Oryctolagus cuniculus: one gene and its partner. The protein of the gene in region 2 interacts with the protein of the main gene of each other region in a pairwise test. Links are inferred from orthologs where the notes say so. Each region holds a gene or a part of one and is shown on either strand. Other genes may lie near its edges. The genes, in order: SESTD1 and GPS2.

Region 1 (4,290 bases), on a different chromosome or scaffold from region 2:
ATGGAAAGAAAATGGAACCCTCATGAATTGCTGGTGAAAACATAAAACAGTTTAGCAGTTCCTCAAAAACTTAGAGGAACCACAGACACAGTAACTCCACACCCCAGTATATTCCCAAATGAAAATATCTACCCACACAAGAACTTGTAAATGAGTGTTTACATTATCCATAATAGCCAAAAAGTGAAAAATCAAATGTCCATCAACTGATGAATGGGTAGATACAATGTGGCACAGGCACAGCATGGAATATTATTCTGCCATTAAAAAGGAATGCACCATCAACCCATGCTAAAATACCGATGGACACTGGAAGCATGAGGCTAAGTGAAAGATGCAAGGGTCACATGTTGTATGATTCCATTTATATGAAATGTCCGAAACCGGCAAAACCACGTAGACAGAAACAGATCAGTGGTTGCCAAGTGCAGGGGAGAGGAAACAGCAGCCAGTGGACACAGGTTTCTTTTCAGGGTGATGAAAATGGTCTTAAATTAGCGCTGATGTTTGCACCGTCTTGTGACTATATGAAAACCACCAACTGTATGCTTTAGAAGAGTGACTTCTATGACACACCAAATTATATCTCAAATAAAACTATTATGGAAGTTTAAGCTTAAGCTACTTTTTATTAGTGAATATCCCTGCTTTTCTCAAGAGGCCACTCCTGTTTCTTGTAACAGCTATAAAAGCTCTTTGAAGTAAGATATTTCACAGATGAACAGTATGTTTAGAGAAGTAAACACTACCTTCTCAGAGAAACTTCCTACAAATCAGATGTAGTATAATTTTACTTCTTCAAAAGAAATGCTCTTTTCAAGGAGTCTGTGCACATGTGATATTTTCTATTTTTTAATTAGCAAATATTTAGCTTTCAGATACCTCATTAGTAAGATCTCCTGTTTAAAGAGTTATTAAGCATCAATGAATTAAAACCCAAGTAGATGTTAGTTTCTCCCCTCTCTTTCTGTCCCCTGCACTCTGCTGATAGATTCCTGGTACTTGACTAGATCCTAATCTGTCTGTCAATGAGTCCTTCCAATCACTACGCCCAGAGGAAAGGACTCTGCGAACTCTTTAAATGTGATCAACTCACTTTTCTAATGTTGGGGAACTTACTAAGGGCAGGCCTGAATTTTTAGGTTAGTCTAGAATGTTGGAATAAATATTCAGCAAAATGATTTCCTGGAATTTGAGAAATAAAAACAATCAATAGAGTTGTGTAATGCTTTCCAGGTCCTTTGGGAATTCTTTCATAGTGTAGTCATGGGGTAAAGACAGGCACCAACTTTTGTCCACAGAAAGTAATAAGTTTAAAGGCTTCCTGGTTCTAGAACAAAGAAGCATTTTCTTGCTCAAAGCAAAAACGAAGGTATCTTCCTTCTATTTAGTATTGTTATACTAAAATAGCACACCCATGAAAGCAGCTAGGTAAGGCCTGACACAGGCTATGTAAACAAAGACGAACTGTTCTTTGGTGGGTTCTGACACCAAGAAATCAGGACTGACCACGCCAACAAAAAGCCCCTTATGGATGAAGATTTTCCCACACGGAGTACTCCGTGTATATTCTGAGGGCTTGCCAAGCCACGCTGGGATGCGCGGTGGGCACGCCTGGCACACACCTAACCTGATGACCTGTCAAGCAGCTGCTATCCAGTTACTCCCAACTTCTGGGGATGTCTGGGTCTCCGGGAGACATGTCAAAACCCTCGGGGCACGCTGCACGGGGCTGTCACACACAGCAGCCCCCAGCCCAGCCCCTGCGTCCCACGCTGAAATCCCACCCGCACCCTCCGGAGCCGGCCACGCTGCGGCTCTTTCCGAACACGAGGCTACCTAAAATATCAAAAATAAACAGAGAGCCATGGATCCCAGCCAACCCATTCCCTCCCTCCCCTTTGTGACTCCGGTAACCTCCCGCAGGCCCGGGGAAGCCAAGCCCCACGCGGCGAGGGAGGCATCCAGGAGCCTGGGCTCAGCCCGGGGGGCCTCGCGCCCGTGTCCCCCACCCACCGGGCAGGACTGGTCACCGGTCACACAAAGGAACCGCCGCGGGCGCTGGACGCGGGGACTCGCCCCGCAGCCGGGCGCCGCGTCTGCTCCCAGCACGCCGGGAGGGCGAGACCCGCTGGAAAATAAGGATTAACGCCCAGACCTGTTGCACGATTCGGGTCCCTTTCACCCCGAAAGGAACAAGGGCGCTCAGGAGGGGAGAAGCGCGCAGCCCCGGCTCTCGGGCTCTGCGGGCCGCTGCCGCTCCCGGGCAGGAGGCGCAAGAAGCAGGGGCGGCCCGCGGGCTCCCACCTCCGGCGCTTTGTCTGCGGAGGCGGCCGGGCGGAGAGCGGGGGCGGCCGCAGGGCAGCGGGGCCGGCAGGCTGGAGGCGCCCCTCCCTCAGCGCGCGGCCCCGCCGCCCCGCGGCCCGCGCCGGCGAAGAAAGCCGGGCCCGCCGCCTCGCGCTCGCCGCCCGGCCGCCGGGCCTGCGCGCTCCTCCCGCCTGGGCCGCCCGGCCGCGAGGCGGGCCACACTCACCTGGCCGGTGCTGGCGCTGGCGCTGGCGGCCGGCGGCTCCGGGGCTTCGGGGAGGACACGGGGACGCTGGCTAGGCGCGGGCGGAGGCGGAGGGCGAGGCGGGAGGAAGGCGGGCTGGGGGGCGGAGCGGGCCTGGGTGGCGGCGGCTCCAGTCACTCGCCGCAAATCGCGTCCCGGCCCCTCCGTGCGTCAGGCGGGGGGCGGCGGCGGCGGCGGCGGCGCGGGTGGCCCGGCGACCTCCCGGCACCCGCGGCCAGACCCGCGTCCGCGCGACCTCGCGCGCGCTCGGGCGGCTGCGGCGCGGCGACCCCGCCCGGCGCGGACAGGGGGCGGGGCGGGAGCCCGGCGGGCGGCTGGGGGCTGGGCGGGAGTGGGGGGGGGGCGCCCACGCTCCGGGTGGTCCCCACCCCTCGCGGAGCGGCCAGCGTCCGGCCGGGAAGGTGGCGGGAGGCGGGGGGAGGGGGAGGGGGTGGTAGAAGGAGTCCTGGGGTCAGGAGCCCTGGGCTTACGAAAGGTCCCGCTGCCCGGCATCCTCGCAGGGTATTTGCTTCCTCTGACCTCATCCTGAGCTACGTGTGTCTTCGAGTGTAGGGTCTCCGACAGCTTCAGAATTCCAACGTCCTCAGCCTCACTTTGTTGGAATTCTTGGCTTCCAGGTACCCAGCGCCAGGAGGTGCCAGGAAGAGGGGGTCTGCTGCGGCGTGGCTGAGTCGGGTGAAGGCGGCGGGGAGGAAAGGGTTGCGGTGTGGACATCGACTGGGCTTTGAGGATCTTCCCATTGGACAGTCCGAAAGGAAGCCACAAATGGGGCTTTCTGATCATGGCTACTTCCCCATGGTTAGCAGCCCTTGGGTTTTTTTCCTCCAAATGGACTAACTTCAGAGACCTCTTCCTCCTCTGAGTGCACAGATCACTTTTATGTCATTTCCTGAACTCGGCCGAGTCACCGCTGATCCACAGAAAATCACAGCCATGTGGTCCCAATCCCAGGCCTTCCATGATACCCACTCTACCACTCCCTTAAATCTCACCGAATTAACCCGGATAAAACCTCGCCAACAGCTGGGCAAGCGAGCTTCTCCCTCCTGAGGTCGTCTGATGTTAAACCCCAAGGATGACTCTTTCCTCTTAATTTCGTGAGGAGCAGTCTGTCCCATACTTTAACCTCTTGGCCACTTTTTACATCAAGCCTTCCTAAGTTAAGTTCTGCTTCCGTTCTCCGGTGGAGAATGCTCCAAAAACACGGAGGCAGCGTGATGCTTCTCTCTTTAGCATCCTTGGGACGCTCTCCACCTCTGAGGGGGAAGCAGGTGCAAGCTCATTTCCACAGAATCTGAAGTGTTTTATAATCTGATCCGCAGGGCTCCTCAGCTCCTTCGCCAGCTACTCCAACGCCACGCCCACGCGGTGCCCACAGATTCTGCAAGCTCCCTCTCTGCCTACAGAATTCTCCGCCTCCGAAGTCCATCCTTGGTTCAGCCTCGTGAGCTCCAGCTATCCTTCAAGGCTCCATTTCTCTCTGGAGTCTTTCCTGATATCCCTCCACTTTGCCATAGCCACGTGTTCACCCGCACCCCAAAAGGAAACACTCTTTTCTCTTTCATACAGCTCTTTGTCCTCTAGGATCATCTTTTTTTTAAAGAATTATTTATTTATTTGAAAGTCAGAGTTACACAGAGAGAGAAGGAGAGGCAGAGAGAGCGAGGTCTCCCATCCACTGGGTCACTCCCCAGTTGGCCACAATGGCACAGCCAATC
Region 2 (4,584 bases):
CTGGAAAGTGTACCTGGAAGCCAGAAATAAACTGAACTCTGCTTCTGGGTTCATTGTCACCAACTGTCATCACTTGGACTTGCTGTGGACCTGCCAGCCTCCCCCTCCCCCCAGGCAGCCGTGGAATGCCCCACAGCTGGGTGGGGGCAACACAAACAGCAGCAGCAGGGCCATGGCAGGTAGAGTTTATTGGCCTGGGACACACAAGGGGGACCCTCACCCGTGGTGGGGTTGAAGAGACTCTCTGGTGGTCACTTGTGGTAGAAGCGTGGGTTCTGGCTGTGTTGGATGAAGGGGAGCCGAGGGCCGGGCTGGCTGGTAGCTGTAAAGCCTGACTGGTGGAGTGACAGGAGGGGTCTGTCAGTGGCCCCTTCTCCCTCCCACTCAGACCCTGACAAGCATCCCAGGGCAGAGCAGGGCGGGGGTCGTGGCCACTTGTCCTGACCTTTCCCTGCTGATCACCACCCTTACCTTTCCTGCTGGCTGCATCTGGACTGGGAGCTGGGGGGAGGCAAGGAGTCCAGGAGCTGGATGCAGAGCCTGGGGGTGCATGGGGCGCAGGGAAGACTGCAGAGAACAGAGTCAGGACCTGAGGTGTGCAGGGCTAACCTTGCACAGTCCTAACGCCACACCCCCTGCCCCAAGGGCTCCTCACAGTCCTGACCCACACCCCAGGACCCAGTACTCACAGAGTCTGAGAAGCCAGTCTGCTGGTTAGCATGTTCCATCTGCTTTTGCAAGGACAGGGCACCAGCAGGCTGTAGAAACCCTAAGTGGGGGACAGGGGCGTGTGAAATGACGTGAGAGTGAGGACGGGAGGGGCTGGAGCTAGGGCTCCCAGTGGGTGTCCTGGTCACCTGACTGGGTGGGCTGGAAGTGGCCATGCACGGCATAGGGCTGTGGCTGAGGCTGAGAGAGGTACTGCACTGCAGGAAACGCTGACGGTGCTGAGAAAGGCAAGAGGCACCGGCATCAGAACTCCAGCATTCCTTCCCGGTTCCCAGGAGGGGCCCCCTAGCACTCACCTCGGAGCTGCTGGCTGGGACTATAGGCTGGCTGGGTGGGCCCGTAGTGAGGCGGGGGCTGGGCAGTCCCGTAGGCACCGCCAGGACTGCCTTGGAATTGCCCGTGCTCTGGTGTCCCTGCAAAAGCTGCTGCGGAGCCCACGTAGTGCCGGGTCTAGGGAGGGGGGACGAGAGCTCCATGGAAACTGGAACACAAACTCCGGACTCGCGAGCTCTGCAGACGCGAGGTGTGCTTGGGATGCTTCTCACATCAAGTACGCCAGGGTGGGTGTAGCAGGGCAATGGGCCTGGGCCCACTCGCCCTGCTTTTCTCACCGTAAGCACTTGGGGTCCAAACATCTGTTTGGCTCTGTCAGCTGCCATGAGGGTGCCTGGGCGGCTGTGTCCTCCGGGGCTCCCTAGGAAGGAAGAGCAGCTTTGTGACGCTGGAGTGGGGGGCTGCCCTGCCCGGCAGGTGGGCCCCTCAGCCCTCACCCTGCATGCTGAGCAGGTGAGTTCCCGTGTGCACCGTCAGGCTCTGCTGGTAGGCAGCCGAGGTCAGCGTGGTCAGGTCGCTGGAGGGAAAGGAAAGCAGGTCAGAGCCAAGCACAGGAGCCCCTCGCCATCGAGCACCAGTGCCCTGTCCCCGCCCCGGTGCAGCCGGCCCCGTTCCCACTCTCGGCTCCCCGATCCCACCTCTGCTCCTTTCGCCTCCGTTTTTCTTCCTCGTGCAAAACCTTCTTGAGCTGCAGGAAGAGCTGGTGCTTCTCCTCCTGCAAGGCCAGAAGCTTCTCCTGCAGCTTCAGGATCTGGGGGGGAAGGAGAGGATGGAGGCGCGGCTGCCGCGGGAGGAGCCGGGCAGGGAGGTGGCGGTGCGTACTTGCTCCTTGGTCTCCTCCAGGGACATCCTCTCTTCCATTTCCTTCTTCTTCCTCCTCTCCTGCTCCTCCCTCATCTTCTGTTCCATCATCTTGTCCACCTCCTCTTCCTCTGCAGAAGGGGGGGGGGGGAGCCCAACGTTAGCCACGCCAGTTACCCCGAGGCTCCTGCACGCTCCCTCCACCGCCACGGGACAGCCAGAGGGCGGCTTGATCAGGTGCTCTCCAAGGTCCTTCCCTGGAGCTTGGGAGCAGGTCTCTAACTCCCCGCACGACGTGGGGGTGTTCCTTCCCTCCTCTAACTCGGCCTCGCGCGCAGGGGTCGGCCCGTGGGCGGGGGCCGACCCTGGGCCAGCGCAGACACCCCGGGCGTGCGTCCTCCCACTGCGGCCCGGCTCACCCTGGCGCTTGCGCTCCCGCTCCATCATGATGTGCCGGTGGAGCGCCCTGGCCATGGCGTTGGAAAGCTTGGGGCGCTCCAGGAGCGCGGGCATGGTGCCGGTGGGGACGCTCGGGCCGTGGGCGCCCGGCTATGTCAGTGACTGCCAGACTTCGGGATGAGGCCTGCGGGGAGGCGGGAGCTCAGTGGGGGCCGTGGCCAGCCGCGGCGGAAGCCCGTCCGCCCGGCCCGCTCGCCGTCCGGGTCACGTGCGGCGGGAGCCCCTCGCTCGGTCTGGCCACAGACCCCGCTCCGCGGCGCGCCCCGGCGGCACCAAGGTCCCGGCTGGACGCTCCGGCCGCTCTCCTCCGCGGCCCGGGCCGCCCGCCCCTCCCTACCCGCCTTCTCGGCGCTCTCTCCGCGGCCCCGGCGCACCTCGGCCCCCGCTACGTCACATCCGGCGGCCGGGCCGAGTGCTTCCGGAGTCACGGCGGAGGCCGGCCTCGCGGGTTGGCCGAGGGAGAGGCGGAAGTGCACTGGGACGGGTGCCCGCGACGCCCAAACCTCGGCGCGGGGCGGCGGGGACAGAGAGGCTGAAGCGGATGCTAGGAGAGGGCGTTTATTGGCTCTTTAGAAATCAGTCAGTAACAACTGTACAGAGGGCCCCGTCGTCCTCGTGCCCGCCCGGCCCACGCCCGCCCGCCGGCCCCCGGAAAAGCAGCTTCATGTGGACACAGGGGGACTCCTGGGATTCACAGTAACCAGAAACAAAAACGGAAATAAATTAAGTGATATGGGGGAGGGGAGTAGTAGGGAGTCGTGTTCCCCAAATCAGTGCATGAAGAGGGGTCCCCTGGGCCCGGAGCTGGGCTCCCCGCAAGCTCCCCGCCATCAGAGGGAGTGTTCTGGGCCCCTGGACACGGAGGTGTGCTCCACTTCCCATCTGAATCTGAGAGCCTGTCTACACTGCAGTTCCTGCGCATCTGCCAACACTGAGCACCTGTGCATGCCATGAGTCACTGGAATGAGGTGGAGGCAGGCGTCACTCGGAGTCCGCGGGCCGAGACCCAGCTGTGCTTGTAGTAGTGGGGTCTCGCCCCTCATTCCACCCGTACCAGCAGGGCATAGAGGAGTATGGCCCCCTTCTCCTTAGTGACCCACTCAAGTTCGGCCGCGCCGAAGTGGGGGTCCGGAGGTTCTCTGTGTGCAGCGGAAGGGGGGCCCGGGGTGTAGGAGCCAGGGCGCACACACACCTGGAACGCCACCTGAGCCCGGTGTGTCCGCTGAGACTTGGGGTCCCGGAATCTGTCGGGCAAGAAGCAGAAACGGGAGTGAGGCCTCCGCCCCAGCCACACTTAGGGTTTGCTCCAAGGAAAAGGCCTTAGCTCCAGCTGTTCTGTCTACCCCAAAGGCTCTGCCTCCCACAGCCTGTCCGGCCACAACCCTCACTTCCCCTTCCTGTGACGCCTACCCTGCCCGCCCGATTTGAGAGGCAGAGACAGCGAGACAGACAGACAGAGCTCCCATGTGCTGGTCAGTCCTCAAATGCCCACAACAGCCAGGGCTGGGCCAGGACTGAAGCCAGGAGCTTAGGTCAATCCAGGTCTGCCCCAGGGGTGGCAGGAGCCCAGTCACTGGAGCCATCACTGCTGCCTCCCACGGTCTGCATCGGCAGGAGGCTGGGGCCAGGAGCGAGCCTGGAACTGACCCCAGGCACCGTGAGCCCCGAGATGACCCCTTGTAATGTGGCTGCTGCATCAGCATTTCCCATCCGCCTCACCCCACTCTCCTTCCTCTGTTTCCACAGTATTGACTCAGCACCTTTAAAAATACCAAAGGCTGGCCAGTGCCGCAGCTCACTAGGCTAATCCTCCGCCTGTGGCACTGGCACCCCAGGTTCTAGTCCCGGCCAGGGCGCCGGATTCTATCCCGGTTGCCCCTTTTCCAGGCCAGCTCTCTGCTGTGGCCCGGGAGTGCAGTGGAGGATGGCCCAGGTGCTTGGGCCCTGCACCCCATGGGAGACCAGGAGAAGCACCTGGCTCCTGGCTTCGGATCGGCATAGCGCGCCGGCCGTAGCAGCCATTGGGTGGGTGAACCAACAGAAAAGGAAGACCTTTCTCTCTGTCTCTCTCTCTCACTGTCTAACTCTGCCTGTCAAAAACCAAACAAACAAAAACTAAAGGCTTATTTTGTCAGCATCCTGCAGAGACGATTTAGGCTCCACAGAGCAAGGTTCCCTTCGTCCATTTATGATCACCAAATGCAGAAAGGACCGAGGTGCAGCCCAAGCAACTGACAAGACGCAGCGAGGGAAGGGGCCCTG

Evidence for each region.
Region 1: the proteins of GPS2 (region 2) and SESTD1 interact in binary tests that used the Homo sapiens proteins (3 or more experiments, as listed by UniProt). The two-hybrid records come from large-scale screens. The link is inferred for Oryctolagus cuniculus from reciprocal best matches to the Homo sapiens genes GPS2 and SESTD1.

Annotation. Positions count from the first base shown.
Region 1 is NC_091434.1:61,871,646-61,875,935, reverse strand, and holds the start of SESTD1 (SEC14 domain and spectrin repeat-containing protein 1), read right to left. Parts: upstream 2,821-4,290; 5' UTR 2,534-2,820; intron 2,297-2,533; exon of another isoform or gene 2,159-2,296; intron 1-2,158. UniProt on the Homo sapiens protein: May act as the primary docking protein directing membrane turnover and assembly of the transient receptor potential channels TRPC4 and TRPC5.
Region 2 is NC_091448.1:51,915,475-51,920,058, forward strand, and holds the start of GPS2 (G protein pathway suppressor 2), read right to left. Parts: upstream 2,865-4,584; intron 2,812-2,864; exon of another isoform or gene 2,568-2,811; intron 2,447-2,567; 5' UTR 2,377-2,446; coding exon 2,283-2,376; intron 1,995-2,282; coding exon 1,885-1,994; intron 1,814-1,884; coding exon 1,701-1,813; intron 1,580-1,700; coding exon 1,500-1,579; intron 1,424-1,499; coding exon 1,341-1,423; intron 1,180-1,340; coding exon 1,026-1,179; intron 948-1,025; coding exon 858-947; intron 770-857; coding exon 690-769; intron 590-689; coding exon of another isoform or gene 568-589; coding exon 472-567; intron 336-471; coding exon of another isoform or gene 332-335; coding exon 1-331. Other genes in the region: NEURL4 (neuralized-like protein 4), read right to left, coding at 3,362-3,566. UniProt on the Homo sapiens protein: Key regulator of inflammation, lipid metabolism and mitochondrion homeostasis that acts by inhibiting the activity of the ubiquitin-conjugating enzyme UBE2N/Ubc13, thereby inhibiting 'Lys-63'-linked ubiquitination.